Saccharomyces cerevisiae S288C: one gene and its partners. The protein of the gene in region 2 interacts with the protein of the main gene of each other region in a biochemical or structural test. Each region holds a gene or a part of one and is shown on either strand. Other genes may lie near its edges.

Region 1 (4,830 bases), on a different chromosome or scaffold from region 2:
CTTAGACACCGTACCAAAAACAATTGGTGGAAAAGAAAAACACCATGAAATTCAATTAGGCCAAGCCCACACAGAAGCAGATGGCGAACCTTTGTTGGGGGGAGATGGTAACGAAGATGCTACATCTAGGGAAGCCACACCTTCATTAAAAGTGCACTTTTTTTCAAAAAAGTCGAGAAGGTTAGTGGCCAGATTGAGAGGGTTCACACCGGGCGACTTGAACGGAATATCTGTGGAAGAAAGAAGAAACTTGAGAATTGAATTATTAGATTTTATGATGAGGCTCGAATATTACTCAAACAGGGATAATGATATGAATTGATTGTTAGTATGTAGAATAGATCAAAATGGCAATAAATTAATTACAATAATAAAATCTCTCGAAACAATATATAGTTACGATGACACACTAGAAATCGAGAGAGATATATAATAAGTAGAAAGAATTTTTTTTTTTTTTTGATCAGTGCATCTTAACCCTTCTTTTGTCTCCATTTTTTTCAGTTGGGAATTAGGATAATATCCCTACAGATAGTTGAAATTTTCTTGAACAATCTTCTCCATTCTAAAGGATCACCAGTTTTTCTTTCAAATCCGACACTTTTCAACTCTTCTTCAATCTTTATGATGGAAATGCTACCGCATAATTGATAACCCCCATTACTTTTGGTTTTAATATTTATAATAAGTGGGAAAACGTTATCATAACCCAATAATTCGCACAATCTTTCAAAATTCGCAAAAAGGTCGGGTTTTACTCTAATTTGTGATAAATTCAAGGCTTTCTCCAAAATCGGTAACAAAACATCCATAGGTTGCAACGTGTAGAACTTGGTAAGTTTATTCGGATTAAATTGTAAATGTCGTTTTACTAATTCATTACAATCATTTTCATCAGAATGAAACTGTAAGGCAGCGATATCATAGCTTATGAATTGCGTCCACTTAGCCTCTTGTGTCATACCTGTTCCGCTATTATAGTTCGTATTTGAATCATACGAGGTAAATGCACGTTGTGTATTCGAAACTGTCTGGAAATGCATTGAGTCGTGTTCAAGCTCAGCCAATTCGTTACCAATTGGCTGAGTAGAAATGTACCTATTATTAGAGTTTGTATCTTGAGTGAATTTCAAATAATTTTCGTTACTCAGTGAGACTTTTAAGTGAGAAAACAGTTTCTTAGCCAAGAGTTCAGGGTCATTACAGAGACCATCATCCCCAGAAAATGAAGCTCGACGTAATACCCAAGGATGTAACTTTAAAGCCTTCAATGTCACCCTCTTATTTGGGTCAGGTTGTAAAATTTTTCGGAGTAGGTTCAAGTGAGTAAATTCTATCTTTGACCAGGGTCCCCAGTTTAAATTTCCATCATTTTCAATAAAAAAGACGAAATCTTCGTTCTCTAATGAAGGTAATTCCCAAGGCGTTTGACCAGTCAACAATACGAACAAGAGGATGCCAATAGACCATATATCTGTTCGATCTGCGTAATAACCCTCTTCAGAATATAATACTTCAGGAGCCATGTAGGGTGGAGAACCCCTTTGATCCATGGATACACGTAATGTACCATCTTTCCTCCTAAATTGAGAGGCGAGCCCAAAATCAGCTAGCTTCAGATTTCCGTTCTTATCGAGTAAGATGTTTTCAGGCTTGATGTCTCTGTGAGCAACTCCACATTCTACATGCAGATAATTAATAGCACTAACGAGCTGTTGAAAGTAAAATTGGGCCACGTCGGAATCAACTCCAACGTCAGGCTCAATCTTATCAAATAGATCACCACCATCTGCCATCTCCAGAATTATCCACATATATTCTTTAGAGACATTACAATCGATAAGTCTCAAAACATTAGGATGCTTAGAACACTTCGATTGCAAAACAACCTCTTTTGTGATATCCTTGTCACTGAGTCCCATTTTTTTGCAAGTGGGAACATGAATGAATTTAACAGCTAGAATAATGGAGGGATCCATTTGAAGATGAGCATTTTTAACGCAGGCGAATGCGCCTTGGCCTACTGTATCTCCTAAAACAACATCCTTGATATGGGGTAAAGGTGACACCTGCGAGAGACTCATAGTAATACGTGCTGCCCATATACAGCAACTTATGATATACTCTTATGTTTGAAGCTGTAGTTGTTTTTATTTGCCATTCAATTATTAAAATGACATTTAAAGCCGCTCTTTATTAACTTCGGCAGGCCTCGTAGTAATGTTGAAAATTTAAAAGGGAGCTGGGTTGAGGTTGAAAGCACTTACAAAGAAGCAAGGATAGCTAAACCAAACAGCCGTAACCAAATGTTAGAAGCACTGTTTAGAGATTCTGTGGAAGAAGCAATAAACGATTCCATCAAGGAAGGCGTTGTGCTGGCCGTTTACAACACTGCACGGGATGACCAGTGGCTGAAAAGTTGGTTTAAAGGAGATGATGTCTCATTAGATACTTTAGCGGAACATAGTATTTGGTTGAGGTTGGTCAAAGACACTGAGCAGTTCCAGTTATTTGAGCAAGTATTTCCTAATGTAGTTGTACCCAGTATATACTTGATACGTGCTGGAAAGATAGAATTGATTATTCAAGGCGAGGATGACCGACATTGGGAGAAGTTGCTGGCGTGCATAGGCATCAAAGACAAAAAGGCTGGTGAGAGTTCGTCCAGGGAAACCAATCCAGGTTTGGCTAGAGAAGAAAAGTCATCCAGAGACGTCCATAGGAAAAATGCAAGAGAACGGATTGCTGAGACTACCTTAGAGATCCAACGTCGTGAACAACTGAAACAAAGAAAGCTGGCTGAGGAGGAAAGAGAAAGAATTATAAGACTTGTTAGGGCAGACCGTGCAGAAAGAAAAGCTCTTGATGAAACTCATCACAGAACCCTTGATGATGATAAGCCATTGGATGTTCATGATTACATAAAAGACGCACAAAAACTGCACAGCAGCAAATGCGTCTTGCAAATCAGGATGACTGATGGCAAGACTCTAAAACATGAGTTCAACTCGTCTGAAACATTAAATGACGTTAGAAAATGGGTGGACGTCAACAGGACAGATGGAGACTGCCCGTACTCATTCCACAGGGGCATTCCCAGAGTGACATTTAAGGATTCTGATGAATTGAAGACGCTAGAGACACTAGAACTAACTCCAAGGTCTGCATTATTACTTAAACCACTAGAAACTCAAAACTCGGGGCTATCTGTGACTGGGATGGAGGGACCAAGCCTTTTGGGCCGTCTTTATAAGGGATTCTCTACGTGGTGGCACAACGATAAAGATCCTGAAGTAACATCACAACGTGAGGAAACATCGAAGCCGAATCGTCACGAAGTGAGGTCTTCAACACCTTTATCTGGAGCTGCTTCGTCAAGCTGTTTCCAATACAACAATGTTCGGGAACCAGTTCAATCATCTGCTCATGCATCACCAATGCTGACACCTAGCGGAACCAGGTACCCATCGGAAACCAACCTTACTACGTCACGTTCTGTCTCGCCAAATGTTTTCCAATTTGTTAACAACGATCATCAAGAAGATCCTGAAGACCCAACAACCTTTAATGGTAATAATGTCCATTTAGAAAAGAAAAAGGACGAAGATAAAAAATAAGTAGTTAATGGCTTCAACTCCATTTATGACTAGTATTAGACGTGAATTTTTTTTGATTAGATTACATAAAAAAATATACAGTAATTTTATTTACATGGATTTTTGTTATAGCTGGTATTTTTATATCTTTTTTTCTGTTTCAAATGCATATAGAAAAATTGAAGAGTAAGTTTATATAAACACCTTAATTACGGGATTAAAAATAAAACAAGTTTACAACTATAATCACCGCAAAAGAACTCAGCGAAACAGGAGCAATGAGTGAGAAAGAAACAAATTACGTGGAAAATCTCCTTACGCAATTAGAAAATGAACTTAATGAAGATAACTTGCCTGAAGATATCAACACACTATTAAGGAAATGTTCTTTGAATCTTGTGACTGTTGTCTCCCTTCCAGATATGGATGTTAAACCACTACTGGCTACGATCAAGCGTTTTCTGACGTCTAACGTATCCTATGATTCATTGAATTACGATTACCTTTTGGACGTTGTGGACAAGCTTGTTCCCATGGCTGATTTTGACGATGTTCTAGAAGTTTATAGCGCGGAGGACTTAGTGAAGGCCCTTAGGTCAGAAATAGATCCATTAAAAGTAGCAGCATGTAGAGTCATTGAGAATTCGCAGCCAAAGGGTTTATTCGCGACCAGTAATATCATCGATATTCTATTGGATATTCTATTTGATGAGAAAGTGGAGAATGATAAGCTCATTACAGCAATCGAAAAAGCGTTGGAAAGGTTGAGTACAGATGAATTGATTAGGCGTCGATTATTTGATAATAATTTGCCATACCTGGTGAGCGTAAAGGGTAGAATGGAAACGGTTTCTTTTGTCAGATTAATTGACTTCTTGACTATTGAGTTTCAATTCATCAGCGGTCCTGAGTTCAAGGATATCATATTTTGCTTTACTAAAGAAGAGATACTGAAATCCGTTGAAGATATCCTCGTTTTCATCGAATTGGTTAATTATTATACTAAGTTTTTGCTGGAAATACGAAATCAAGATAAATACTGGGCTTTAAGACATGTAAAAAAAATACTGCCAGTATTTGCTCAACTTTTTGAAGACACGGAGAACTATCCTGATGTCAGGGCCTTTTCTACAAATTGTCTTTTACAGTTATTCGCAGAGGTGTCACGAATTGAGGAAGATGAATATTCTTTATTCAAGACTATGGACAAAGATTCTTTAAAAATTGGGTCCGA
Region 2 (9,641 bases):
TTATGAGGTTGGGTTGAACATGAACAACCAGCCAAAATAAAAAAATAATAAATAAGACGAGTGCCACTTATATAGCTTGAGAGAGAGAGAGAGCGTTTGCACGTATATGTGTGACATAATCAGCGTTTACTCATCATCGTCGTCTCCATCGCCTGCAGCTATTCGAGCCTTGACATCTTTCCATAATTTTCCTTTGTTGTGATTCTCGTACCATGAAGTAATAGCAGTATCAAATACAGTTTGGAAAACAAAGGCACCTGCAAAGATAGTACCAACAAAAACAGCGTTTCGTTTGAAAAAGGTTTTATATAGTGATGAAAAAGACTACTCATAATTTATGCATTGTTAGTAACCTGAATGGAAACGCATGGAACATATTCATAGAGCTGCTGTCACCAATTTCATAAGCTTCGCTAAGTCGTTGCGCTCATCGGTGGGAAACTAATTTCCAAAGCCCATGATACTTGGCTAAGGAAGATTCCACGGATAACATTTTTAGCCTGAAATGTGAAGCAGCACACACACACACCAACATACCATTTTAGTCCGTATTGCTATTGTTGCTTTACGAAATTGCGAAGGATATGAAAATCAACCTTCAACGATTATTGACTATCCGTGACAGGACATTAAATACAACTGCTAAGCTAAAGTTTGAGAGGGGATGTCATTAGGGAAAGGCCCAAGGATTGAGCAGCTTTTAGGTCCTAGAATTCTTTCGGCATTGACTTCCCCGCGTTTGATTGGGTCGTGTATAATGATACATATTAACAACTGGGGAGTTCAAAAGTTGCCTTCGCTAGATAAGGAAACTTATGATAGTCACTTCGAAGTATTTGTAATTAGGTTGGTATTACTTCTTTGTTAATAATAAATAAAAGTCAATCGACGCGCAAATGTTTAATAATGTATAAGTTTTTATATACAAATATGTCAACTATAAAACATAGTAGAGGGCTTGAATCTACCAAATCTCTCGCTCATCAGAGTCATCATTATCATCAGAGTCATCCTCATCGAGGTTTCTTGGATTTGTATTTCTTATGATAGTAGCTCCATCAAATTGAGGTCCTAAGAACTGCAATATTGGTGGGGGATTCTGAGGTGCATCATCATCGCCATTTCCCTGCGGTTGTAGAGTGTTCCTAAAGTTTTCGAAGAATTGGAAAAAATCACGTACTCCGCCACCAGCAATACCTTCTGCGCCAACCCCAAATAAGTTGGCGGCCTGTCCAGTTTCATCATCAACATCCATTTCGTCATTTCCCTCCGTAAAAAACCCGTCTTCTCCCTCTTCCATATCTTCATCATCTTCATCTGTTGGAGGTATTCTTCTTGGCCTTGGTTCTCTATTAAATGCAAACAAGAAACCATTGGAAAGTATAGTCACTCGAAATTCGTCACCCATTACTCTACTAATATAACCTGGAATTTCATTGTTAATCCATAATCTGTTTAAGTGCTCATATCTTTTCAAATTCAAGGTGGTTAAATCACCTCTTCTCATGGCATTTCTACCAACTTCACCATGCGAATTTAGATATGGTGCAGATATAAAAATATTAGAAGGAGGCTGTGTCAAATGGAGACAAACTTCACTTGAATTGGGCATCAGGAAGGCGCCAAATGGTTTAAAACAATTTTTATTCAAATGCTTGGTCATTTCATGGCGGTCCGCTCTTAAATGCACTTTGACACCACATGTCAAACATATTTTGAAATCTAATCGATTATCCGCATTCTTCATATGCTGAGAACGCTCTTCACGTAGCTTGATTTCCTTAGATTGGGTAACGTAAGTATTCAAATATTTTGATAAATCTATCAGTTTTATAATCCCACAATATTCATATGGGATGTTCTCCAAATATGGATGCGATACAATGGACTCCTGCGTTGTCAAAAGATCGACTAAGGATTCTTTTTCAGTAATCATTTTCAATGCCTTATTGACAAACTCGGCGGTATCTTCGAATTCCAGTTCTTCTTCAACCTCATGACCGTTGATGACCAGCGTTTCATTTTCAGAATCTTTCACTAATTCGTGTAGCACTTTGATAAAGACTAAGCACCTTCTTATCGTAGGAAGAAGACTCTTCAACAGGAAGGTATAAGCTAGATCATAAATAATACTTTCGGAGTCCAATCCCTCCATTCGTACATCAGATATGGTCCTTAGGGCGAAGAGCATCTGCTCACTTACTTTAAGAACATCCCCAATTTTGGACGCTTTAGCATACAATTTGGTAACCTGTTCTGCATCAGAAAGACCCTGAAGAAAATCTCTTAGAAACTGTCTAGAGAACGTTGTTAACGCCTCTGTAACAGTCTGACGAAGTGAAACTGGAGAAAATAAAGCGCTTCGAACAATATATTGGAAGAGTTGATTTTGGTTCCAAACAGTATCGGGCTGCTGCGGGTACGGTTCAAACTCCATACTTGGCTTGCCTATGACAAAGGTGAACAGCATAATGCAGACTAATATATTTTTTAAAGTTTTGTATTTCTGTTCCCTGCTTCTGAAAAATGAAATACTGTATGGCTTTTCTAACCTAGAAGCAATTTCTAACATTGAAATGGTATTTGCCCAGTGCACACTTAATATTAAAGAAACGTCCTTATGCGAAAAGTTGGCCCGCTTTCTTACCGCTTTATCAAAACCTTGACACTGAGATATCATCAACGAAAATATAGAGTTTATTGTACGATAATTTTCCTCAGTAAAAGGTTTGAAGAGCCTTGACAATGTATCCAAAGAAAGTTCTGATTCCAAAAACATATCTAGCGACAAACCAGTATTTGCCTTTGAGGTTTGACAAAGAGGTAAAGTACAATTCGAAAATGTTTGGCATAAAGGACATATAAACGCGTTTGATGAAAATCTCTTTTTTTGAACGTACCTCTTGAAGCAGTTATGATGAATGTGATGATTACAGGATACAAATACTTTCCTAGATCCACAACTACCGTTTTCCTTCAAAGCCTCTAAAACATCATCGTCAATATAAGCTTGTTTTTCATCATCGTTGTAGAAACCATCCCACATGGGCATAAATTCATTTGGGTTAAAAATATTACCAGGTCTAAATATCGGGGAATGATCATGGTACGCAGGTATCACAAAAAAATCGGTCGAACTGGAATCTTGACATAGTGCGCAGGTAAAATCCTCCGATTCATATACTTTTTCACCGACCATGTCAACATCGTTATCCTGCTCATCAAATTCAGACTCATGTTCTTTCATGAATTTCGTTTGTTGATTGTTAAACTTGGCTAGAAGCCTTGCTTGATGTTTCTTGGCCAATCTTCTTTTTCGTTCCTTCTCTGTCTCTTGTAAGTTAACTCCTTGGCGTAGTTTCTTATCCTTATAATCATTAACGTATTGGTTGCCAAAACTGGCAATTAATGACTCAAAAAGTTCATTTGGTTTTTTCATTATCATCTTCTCTAACAAATAGTCGGCTTTACGGACAATACTCTCGGAAAATACGTCTGATTTAGCATTGGCTATGCTCAAGAGTAAATTACATATAGGCTTTGACAAATAAGCTTCTGGTATAGAGTCCTTACCATTTATCAATTCATCATCCCTGAATATACCATGAACTAAATGTAGTAGCTCATTCAGGAAAGTGCTATCCTCCATATCCAGACATACCTGGAGTAGTTTATAGACCACTTTGGCAAATACCGTATTCCTTGTAAAAGCACCCAGATTGAGAGCGTCTTTATCTAACTGTTTTATTGAGACTTGGGGTATTAGTACAACTTTTGCTATTTCATCCTTATCCTTAGCCAAATGTGATTTAATAATAGTTGCACTACTTTCGAATTCGTTTTCCAAATTCAGCAACTTTAACGGATCAACCTTTGCATACAAGCTTGCTTTTAATTTAAAAACACCATTGTCGGCCAAGCCCTTAGGCTCAACGAAAACAGAGACTTCTTCAAGTGCTTCGTCAAACTCGGTAGTATCTTCAGTTAGGTAGTCAGGAACTGATCTTAGTAGCTTTGAATACGAAAGGGGTTTCATGTAAAGGTTATAAATGATTGAATTTTTGATTTGATCCATTCTTCTATCCTTTAGAGAAGAGAAAGTTTTAAAATATTGTCTTTCGGTCAATATTTGATAAATAAAGGCAATGAATTGTTGAATGATGAATGAAATTTTATCCTCATAGACAGTGTGTTGATAGTCAACTTCACCTGTAAACCAGTCTAGTAATTCCCATCTATCAAGAATATTGTATATTATTCTCGGAATGTCATCACGTTCCCAAAGGATAGCTAACTGATTCAAATGTATATCTCTGGAATAGGAACCTAATTCGGGATTGTTTTTATAATACGATGCTTGATGTAACACAGACATACCATTTCTTACCCAAAACCCGACGTCAATTTGAGAGCACAATACAACTGATCTCAAAGAGAAATCCGATATTTTCAGAAAATCTGAACAGTCTTCTAACGCTTCGTATGCATCCTTTAAAGACACTTTTTCGATAAGGAATGAAAGCATTGTTTGTAAAGGATTCATAAATGCAACTCTTTCGTGGCTTACGCTAAACTTAATGACTTCATGAGAATCATATATTAACTTGTATGTTAGTGATCTATTGCCTAGAAATGAACTGATAATTCTTATTGCATTTAAAAAAAGCTTTGAATCAATGGAATCTTTTGATTTTTCGCTAACTTTTTCCGCTGTTTGAATAATACTGTAAATGGAGGTGGTATATTCTAAATAGGAGATGAAATTTTGATCTTCGTGAAGAACATGTTCACCTTCTTTACGCTTTATCTTCCACGCTCCATTGAAGAGCTTGCAAAGAGTTAATAGAGATATTATTTCCTTAGGTCTCAATGGAATATTAGGATCATGTACCTTACTCAATAAAGTTTCAACTGTATACAACCCTTGCTTGAATGATATACTGTAACTCTTTGTTAAATTGCTTTTTTGAACTCTCTGCCAGATCAATACACCACCTTCCACCTTACAAAACTCCTTAAAAATGTCTATAATTGACCACACAATATCCAAAAAACTTTGGTTTTCGAAAATATTTTTGGCATTCGTAGGGCATGTAAATAACTGTACGACACACTCTCTTATAGCTGTTAGCTGAGGTTCTCTATCCATATATGCCACAGATCTTGTGATGTGGTTGAATATTTCGACTACCTGTTGACAGAAAATGGGCTTGTATAAATTTGAAGAGGCCAACGTTGGAATGATCACATTCTGAATATCTTTTCTCAGTCTTTTCCAATATCTGTTATCAAAATAAAGAATATGTTGTAATCTTGTATTAGAATATGTTCTTGATGTTGGAGTTTCTACATCATTTATCAATGGTGAAAGTGAATGGGTGCTTGATTCGGGTAGAATTTTGTGATGACCCAAAGGAATTTGATTGCCATCTGCAAGGATAGATAAATCGATGTATCTGTAGGGATCATTCTTATCGAACTTGTTGCTGAAATATTTCTCCACCACCGGTGTCATATCACGACATTCTGTTGCATTTAAGTATTCTGAACACAGGGTTTTACCCATCATGTTCCTAAAAGTGGTTTGGAAGGAGGAGTTTGGTATGTTTAAACAGTGTGTAATCCAAAGGATGATATACTTGCATGTTTCTTGATGAAGATATTCTGACCACGATGTTAAAGTGGCACTTAATCCATTCGTTTGAACAGCAAAAAAACCACCTAAGACAGATGATAAATCTTGTGAACATTTCAACATTGCTCGACCTTCTCCGTCAATCCTGGATGTTAATAGATCAATGTGTACGTTATCTGGAACCCCCTGTCTCAAGGCAGTCGTAGCCTGCGAATAGTTATGATATTCATCGTTATATATTATTACCGTGTAATTTTCGGGATCGATTTTCGCAAGCGATGGAGATGCCTCAGGGCTATTAGAGGGGCTCGTCTTTGCTGTTGTTGTTCCGTCAAACATATAATCGTTTTCATATTTTAAATCGTTTAAAAACTGCGCTCTTTCATACATTTTTCCCTGTTGTGTCATCTCTCTTAATTTGATAGTGATATCTTTCTGTATTGTGGGTAGAGGTTCGATATTCTGGTTAAAAACATCGATAAAATAGTCAAACACTTCTGCAAGAACCAACTCCACTAATGCTATATTCACTGAATCATTCCATACATCTTCTTCCTTTATGTCGGCATTTGTGGCGGGATCTTCCGATATATCGTTTTCTTGTTCTTCAGCTTTGCAATGAAGTGGAGAATTCCAAGCTTCTTCATCTCCACAGTCACAAATTCCACTAGTGAATTCAGTACATATATCGGTACAAACATGATGATTCACATGATCTTTTGGATTAAAACAATGAATACAAAGCACACAAGTATCATCGCAACCACACTCATGACACCTATACAAGGGTTCCCCTATTTTGAATTTCCTCCCACAATTTCTTCCGGTATGTTTATGGACGTCTCCTATTCTGGATTCATCTATCTTATAAAACGGAATAGTTTGTTGAGATGTTATCTTATCAATATCCACAGCATCTTCTAAACTGTCAGGAAAAACAGTAAGCTCTGGGTTAGATAATTTTTGTTTTGGATGAGCATTGAATAAAGTAGGTAAGTTCTCTCCGCTGTTAGAAATGACAAAGTATAGATATCTGTAAATGAACTCTTTAAGGGCTCTGCTCATGTCAGCCCTTTCAGTAGGACCTCTCGTATACCTAAAATAGGGGAGGTTATGAATAGACCTCAGTGTTCTCCTAATGTGACCTTGTAAAGATCCTAAATCATCATCAGCAACGGACATATTGGAATGTTCTATGTAATTTGTGTGACCTGTAAAGATTAGGGACTTCAGTGAGAGAAAATAGTCAACTAATAGGATACAGTAAACTTCAACTGCCTTTGTCCGAAGATGCGAAGAAAAAGGAAGAAAGGTGGTAAAAAAACTTAATAATGTATCGCAATAAGAAGGAGGGGCAAAGAAAGCAGGATGCTACTATTAAAATAGTTTGCTTTTGTTAAATGCCCAGTTTCACGCTATAAGTATGCAAAATTAAAGAATAAAAAGCCCAATGAGGAATAAAGCAGTTTTATTGAGGTGAGACTAAAAGGGTCTAGCAATGAAAACAATATATGTTTCCTTTTTAAAATGTACCAAAGTCTTTATACTCGCTCGTTGATGTACTGGGCGTTATCAAAACTGTTTGCCACTGGGTAGTTGCCTTATGGTCACTATCTGCAAGTTAAATTCAATCGCAAGAGGAAGAGAAAATAAACCGTCGCATCACTTTTCTACACTTACCCGGTTATTAATTTTATAACGTTTATATGATATATCTTTTCTTATTTATTATATTATGAATCGTGAAAACGGATTAAGCTATGCTTACAATTTGGTTTCCTCTAGTTTCGTGGCAATCTCGTTGGTCTTAGTAGCGCCTGGGTACTTAGTACCCTTATTCTTTGGTTTCTTAGCCTTTTTCGACTTTTGTGGTGTGGCAACTGGATAACCCTTTTCGGAGGCCTCTTGAAATTCCTTGTTGTTGGCAAATTCTTGTCTGATTGGCTCCAATAGCTCGTTGATAGCGTCAGCAACACCAATTTTTAGATCAGGTGGGGACAATTTTTCTTCTTTAAAAGCCAATTTCATTTCTTCGAAGGATTTGTAGGTAATTGGACCACCGAACTTTTCTGGTCTATCAATGAAGAATTCGAAGTGATTTGTACCAAACTTCAATTCTTGGATTGGTGCAATGACATATTGGACAAATGACAGTAAACCATTCTCTTCGACGTTACCGGGGCTACAAAATGCACTATTGATCTTTTTCTTAACTTGCTTTGGTTCTTCCAAAAGGTCGATTTTTGAATTCGGATCAGAGGCAGACATTTTACCACCTTGAGCCAAACCTGGAACCATAGGGTTCATTAAATGTGCTCTTTTCTTGTAGCCCAAACTTGGTAAATTTTCTTCCGCTAAGACAAAAATTTTTCTCTGGTCGACACCACCAAATTGGCAATCAACATCTAAGAATTGTTCGTCCAACGCTTGCATTAAAGGATAGATAAGCCCACTCAATAATGGATTGGCGACTTGCTTGACAACATCAGCGCCTGCCCTTTTAGCATCGTTTTGTGAAACAATGTTGGATAATCTAAAGATATCCATGGTATAGTCTGGAGTTAGCTGGTAAGAAGAGCCAACAACAAATTTTAGCTTTTCAATTGGAACATTGATGCTTCTCAAGATAGCTTTGATGGTCAATTCATAGTATTTGGCCCTATAGTTCACCACTTCCAATGGCGCCTTCATGTTGTCCAAAAAGGCGTGCAAGTCTGCTAAAAGAACAGTCACTTCACAACCTGCTTTCAAGAAATCAGCAAGCTTGGTCATAGGAACAAAATAACCACAATGAGGTCTTCCAGTGGGCGCGGTACCCCAGTATAATTTCAAATGTCTCTTTTGTACTTCGAGAACATCTTTGATGATTTGTGGGTTCAAGACTTCTTGCAAGTTCTTGGTAATGAGACCGAACGCCTCATTAGGGTCAACCGTGGCAGCAGAGGACATGTTATCGTCAATTAGAGTATGCGGTTATGGATGCTAATCTCTTTTTGACAATGACTAATTTGTATTCTGAAGAAAGAACAATTAATTTTCATAAAATTTTTCTACTTTGTAAATGTTCGAGTTCCGTTCTTAGTGATGCTCGAATAAGGACCTTCTCGCCTCCATGATAAAATAAAAATTATGATAGTAAGAAGTATGGATGGTTCGAAAGGTTGAAGAATAGCTAGGGAGGCCTATTCGAGTAAGCGCAAGGATGTCCAGACGCAATCCACCAGGCAGTAGAAACGGGGGAGGTCCGACGAATGCCTCTCCCTTCATTAAAAGAGACAGAATGAGAAGAAATTTCCTGAGGATGAGAATGGGTCAAAACGGCAGCAATTCTAGTTCCCCAGGCGTACCAAATGGAGACAACAGCAGGGGATCTCTTGTCAAAAAGGATGATCCTGAGTATGCTGAAGAGAGAGAGAAAATGCTTTTGCAAATCGGTGTCGAGGCCGATGCTGGCAGGAGCAATGTTAAAGTAAAGGACGAAGATCCTAATGAATATAATGAATTTCCCTTAAGAGCTATTCCAAAGGAGGATTTAGAAAACATGAGGACACATCTTTTGAAGTTTCAGAGTAAAAAAAAGATAAACCCTGTAACAGACTTCCATCTTCCCGTAAGACTGCATAGGAAGGATACGAGAAACTTGCAGTTTCAGCTAACAAGAGCAGAAATTGTTCAAAGGCAAAAAGAAATTTCTGAGTATAAAAAAAAAGCAGAGCAAGAAAGAAGTACTCCTAACTCGGGTGGTATGAATAAATCAGGAACGGTCTCGCTCAATAATACTGTTAAAGATGGGTCTCAGACACCTACTGTTGATTCAGTTACTAAAGACAACACGGCCAACGGTGTGAACTCCTCCATTCCTACTGTAACTGGCTCTTCTGTCCCTCCTGCTAGTCCTACTACTGTATCCGCCGTTGAAAGTAATGGACTGTCAAATGGTTCAACTAGTGCAGCTAACGGTTTGGATGGCAATGCATCTACAGCGAATCTAGCTAACGGAAGGCCG
Region 3 (4,491 bases), on a different chromosome or scaffold from region 2:
ATAAAAATTCTTGTTAAATATTTCAGGAACATCCTCCTCTCCTTGGTGGTTGTTATTTTTCCCATTTTGTAACCACCTGCGCATTCTTTCCCTAAATTTGGTAGGCTTTTTCTGCTTCGACTGCTTTGGGGAAGTTGAGGTTATTTCCCCAGAAGGATCATTCTCATATGTGCCAGAGCTTCTCATTGTTGCTAGCTTTTCTACTCTACTTCTATCATGATAATAGGCACTATTGTGAAATTTTTCACTTTTATTTTATTTTCTGACTTCATGATTTTGTGTCGCCTGTTTGCCTTTCCTTACGTAAAAAAAAAAAAAGAAATGGAGATAGTTTCGGGACCCCGTTTATAAACCTTTAATATTTTAGAAAACACATAACTTCATATACTATTTATAATTGCATTTGGATTTATTTATCTATTTATTATTATGATTACTTTTACTATAACTAATCTATTTCATTAAATTTTTTTGGTTTATGTCCAGGTTGGAGATTTCCTTTAAGCTTGGTATGTAGAGGAAGAAACATTACCACCGTGGCCAGTCCAGTTGATATGGATATCCTTGTCTACTGGCAAGTTGTCAGAAGCACATTCTGGCAACACTCTGAAAGTGTGAGCACCAAAGTAGTCACGTTGAGCTTGTAGTAAGTTGGCTGGCAATCTTTCAGATCTGTACCCATCGTAGAAAGACAAAGCGGTGGAAAAGGCTGGTGTTGGGATACCGTAGGTGGTAGCCAACGCAATTGACTTTCTCCAACCAGATTGAGCCTTGGTGACGGCATCAGCGAAGAACTTGTTGAACAACAAGTTTTCCAAATCTGGTTCTTCTCTGTAGGCCTTTGTGATTTGACCCAAGAAAACAGATCTAATGATACAACCACCTCTCCACATCAAAGCGATGGCAGGGTTGTTTAGTTTCCAGCCATAAGTAGCAGCAGCTTCACGGATCAACATGAAACCTTGAGCGTAAGAAATAATCTTGGAAGCATACAAAGCTTGTTCCAAATCATCGACAAATTGTTCTCTGTCCTTGACGGCGTCTTTTGGAACTTCTGGGCCTGGTAAGACCTTGGAGGCTCTAATTCTCTCGTTCTTCAAAGCAGATAGACAACGGGCAAAGACAGCTTCACCAATCAAAGTAACTGGCATACCCAAATCCAAGGCGTTGATGGCAGTCCACTTACCAGTACCCTTTTGACCAGCAGTATCCATGATTTTTTCAACTAATGGCTTACCGTCGACGTCGTCGAATTTCAAAATATCTCTGGTAATTTCGACCAAGAAGGAATCCAAGACACCATTGTTCCATTTGGCAAAAACGTCACTGATTTCCTTATCGGTAAACCCACCCAATCTCTTCATGATGTCATAAGCTTCACAAATCAATTGCATATCACCGTATTCAATACCGTTGTGAACCATCTTGACGTAGTGACCAGCACCGGCTGGGCCAACCCATTCGCAACATGGTTCACCGTCGGATTTAGCAGAGATGGATTGGAAGATGTTCTTAATATGTGGCCAAGCTTCTTCAGAACCACCTGGCATCAAAGATGGACCGTAACGGGCACCTTCCTCACCACCGGAGACACCAGAACCAACGAAAAGAATACCCTTCTTCTTCAATTCTTCGTAACGTCTATTAGAATCTGGGAAGTGAGAGTTACCACCATCGATGATAATATCACCCTTTTCCAAAAGTGGGACGATTTGGTTGATCAAAGCGTCAACTGGAGCACCAGCTTTAACCAAAAGCATGACCTTTCTAGGTCTCTTCAATTTGGAGATGAAATCTTCAATGGAAGTAGCACCGATGATAGATTTGCCCTTAGCTTCATTGGCCAAGAAATGGTCGACCTTGGATTGAGTTCTGTTGTAAGCACAAACAGTGAAACCGTGGTCAGCAGCGTTCAAGATCAAATTTTGACCCATGACGGCCAAACCAATCAAACCGAAATCAGCAGACATTTTATTGTAGTTTTTGTATAGAAAGTGGCTTTTTTCTGTAATGGCAACAATACAGGTTTATATGTATCAGGCTATTTACTTTATTATGTAAGAAAGGACCCCACTAAGAAAAAAGGAAACCTTTGAAAAAGAAACAAGCTCAGGAACAATACTGCAGCTTTTAACGAACATCAGGCCCATTTATATAATACAGCCTCGAAGCCCACCAAGGCCAAAGCGCAAGGCCGCGTGGACCACCAGGACGAAGCACCGCGTAACACCGAGGCACCGTAATGTAACACCGACAGCCACAATAGGTACAAAAGCAGCACAACCTCGAGGCGGGACGAAAGAACAGAGAGGTAGCAGGTGATTTACGTAGTTACTATGTAGCATGCATGGAGTTATGTAGAAGGGACATCGTTGACGTTGATGGGAAGGAATAAACCACTCTTACGTTTAGGTCTCTCTGGGGTTGTCGGAGTAGAACTAGTCTTGAATGGCCGAGGTATGAAATGGCCATCCTTGTCGTTTGGCGGTGGCTTAGGGGTAGAGTGTATAGGTGCCGTTGTATCCTTTATAATTATCGTCGGCGGTTCAGTGAGTGTCGCAGTAGTTGCCGTCGTGATCCTGTTTGCGATCAACGTTTGCAAAGTTTCTACAGTTCTTTCGTTGATGAAAAATGTAGATAATGTTGGTGACAAGATTTTGATGTCGATAGGGTTCTGTAAGCCTGTTCTTCTTACGAAGTGATGGGCCAATGGTATGTCTATGTCACTGTTGTCTCTAAACAAATCTTGTATTGTTTGCGGCGGAAGTGAGTATTTGCTATTGATCAATTGAAAATGGTTTGCTAGTTCTTGTAGAAACCTTAAGGAGCTCGTCGGAAACTGTTCACATAGGGATGTTAGCGATTTTTCGGCCTTAATTAAGTCATCGTAGTGGTTTGAAGGTATTAGGCTGTCGGGTAGCTCTAACAGCCATAATTTTATCAGTCCGACGAGATCATTAGTGACATAGCTGTGCGAGTTTTCAAAAAAATGAGCAGTGATTATAGAGTTTGTATTTTCGGTAGTTTTCGATCCTTTGAATTCCCCCAATAAGTCTCTTTTCAAATTAGAAACCCTTACAAAATCAATATCCCTGTGCCAACTTTGTATGACTTTATTAGCATTTGGTTCCTTTTCAATCTGCCGCAGTATAATCTTTATTGCCCCTAACGTATCAAGAGCAGCCAGTTCATTATTTATTTCACTACCACAGAAAAACTTTTCGCTTTTTATGGAGATTTCTTTGCAAGCGTCGACTGGATCACTCGCTTCTAGGATATTCCACCTGCGAAAGGGTATGCCATTATCCCTGAGGAAAAACCCTCTTACATCCGCATTGGCAGTTTCCTGTGGCAGTTGTGCTTCTTGTAGAGAACACACAGGTGAGTCAGTAAATTTTTCACATTTTTGTTGAAACATCATGTTTGATGATTCTAGAGCTCGTTTGATTCCGTCCTCCATTTTAGAGTAATTTTTACAATAATCATAAATGGTTTTTTCCAACTGCACTTTAGAATATTCCAACTGGCAACACTTGGAGAAAAAAATATCTTGTGATGATTCAAGTTGCTGTTTTAAACTCTTCCACTCATTTTTATTCATATCTGTACTTCCCGCTGCATCGCAATCATCATTATCATGTTGACTAACTTTGCGGATCCAATCGGATATAGATGTTTTGATAGATGAAACGTTGGACTTTTCTTCGTGTTCATTGTCGGAGTGTGTTAACTCACCATACGATTTTTTTTTTCTGTTTCCAGCATTACCATTACTCTCTTGCGTAGCAAGGACTTCACTGTTCCAGTAATAGTATTTTTCCTGGTCAAACTGAGAAACTTTGCTAGAGTAAAAACTCAGGGAATATTCTTGTATTATACCCAGTTGGATGAATTCGTTACCTATCCTATCGATATTAAATAAGGACAGGTTTAGTCTGGGTTCAAGTTTTTTCAATTCTTTGATCAATGACCTGCCTTGGAAACTTTGATTTGACAATCCTGGAACGGAAAAGACACTTTTCTCCAGGATGACTTTTCCCTTCAAGGTTTGCAAAAATGACATAAATTGGTCGCAATCCTCAAATTTTAACCTCTCGTCTAAAGTGTAAGGAAACTCGCATACGAAGTTCAACCTGGTTAACGGTGCACTATCCTTTCCATTATCAAAAACAGAGGAAGAATTTTCCACTGGCGTATTGGCTTTTTTCAATTTATATATAGACTGAACTCTTTTCTCACATCCAATTAGTGCCTCTTTAGCTGCGACTAAATCCTTAATGTAAGCTGAATAACGAGATGACAAATCGTTTTCTGCCTCACGAAGGAAGCTCTCATTAAGATCTCTTAGTTCTTGCAATGGAATTTTACAATCTCTTTCAACTTGCTCTGTTGATATTATATTAAACTGTTTGCTCATCACTTCCAGCAGCCTGCTATTCATTGAATTGGTTGCTTCCATTTTTTGTAAATTGTTCAATGTTGGTTTCCAAA

What was found. Proteins that work in one complex are often made in the same cells at the same time.
Region 1: of the proteins of UBR1 (region 2) and CHK1, one has a biochemical effect on the other in vitro, tested with the Saccharomyces cerevisiae proteins (3 studies listed by BioGRID).
Region 3: of the proteins of UBR1 (region 2) and GND1, one has a biochemical effect on the other in vitro, tested with the Saccharomyces cerevisiae proteins (one study listed by BioGRID).

Annotation. Positions count from the first base shown.
Region 1 is NC_001134.8:746,848-751,677, reverse strand, and holds CHK1 (serine/threonine protein kinase CHK1), read right to left. Parts: upstream 2,085-4,830; coding exon 501-2,084; downstream 1-500. Other genes in the region: DNA-binding protein RIF1, read left to right, coding at 1-322; UBX7 (Ubx7p), read left to right, coding at 2,307-3,617; HSM3 (Hsm3p), read left to right, coding at 3,875-4,830. UniProt on the Saccharomyces cerevisiae protein: Serine/threonine-protein kinase which is required for checkpoint-mediated cell cycle arrest and activation of DNA repair in response to the presence of DNA damage or unreplicated DNA.
Region 2 is NC_001139.9:858,937-868,577, forward strand, and holds UBR1 (E3 ubiquitin-protein ligase UBR1), read right to left. Parts: upstream 6,818-9,641; coding exon 965-6,817; downstream 1-964. Other genes in the region: QCR9 (ubiquinol--cytochrome-c reductase subunit 9), read right to left, coding at 127-324, 538-540; tyrosine--tRNA ligase TYS1, read right to left, coding at 7,400-8,584; transcription factor IIF subunit TFG1, read left to right, coding at 8,838-9,641. UniProt on the Saccharomyces cerevisiae protein: Ubiquitin ligase protein which is a component of the N-end rule pathway. Recognizes and binds to proteins bearing specific N-terminal residues that are destabilizing according to the N-end rule, leading to their ubiquitination and subsequent degradation.
Region 3 is NC_001140.6:468,439-472,929, reverse strand, and holds GND1 (phosphogluconate dehydrogenase (decarboxylating) GND1), read right to left. Parts: upstream 1,971-4,491; coding exon 501-1,970; downstream 1-500. Other genes in the region: SSP1 (Ssp1p), read right to left, coding at 1-186; RGD3 (Rgd3p), read right to left, coding at 2,354-4,491. UniProt on the Saccharomyces cerevisiae protein: Catalyzes the oxidative decarboxylation of 6-phosphogluconate to ribulose 5-phosphate and CO(2), with concomitant reduction of NADP to NADPH.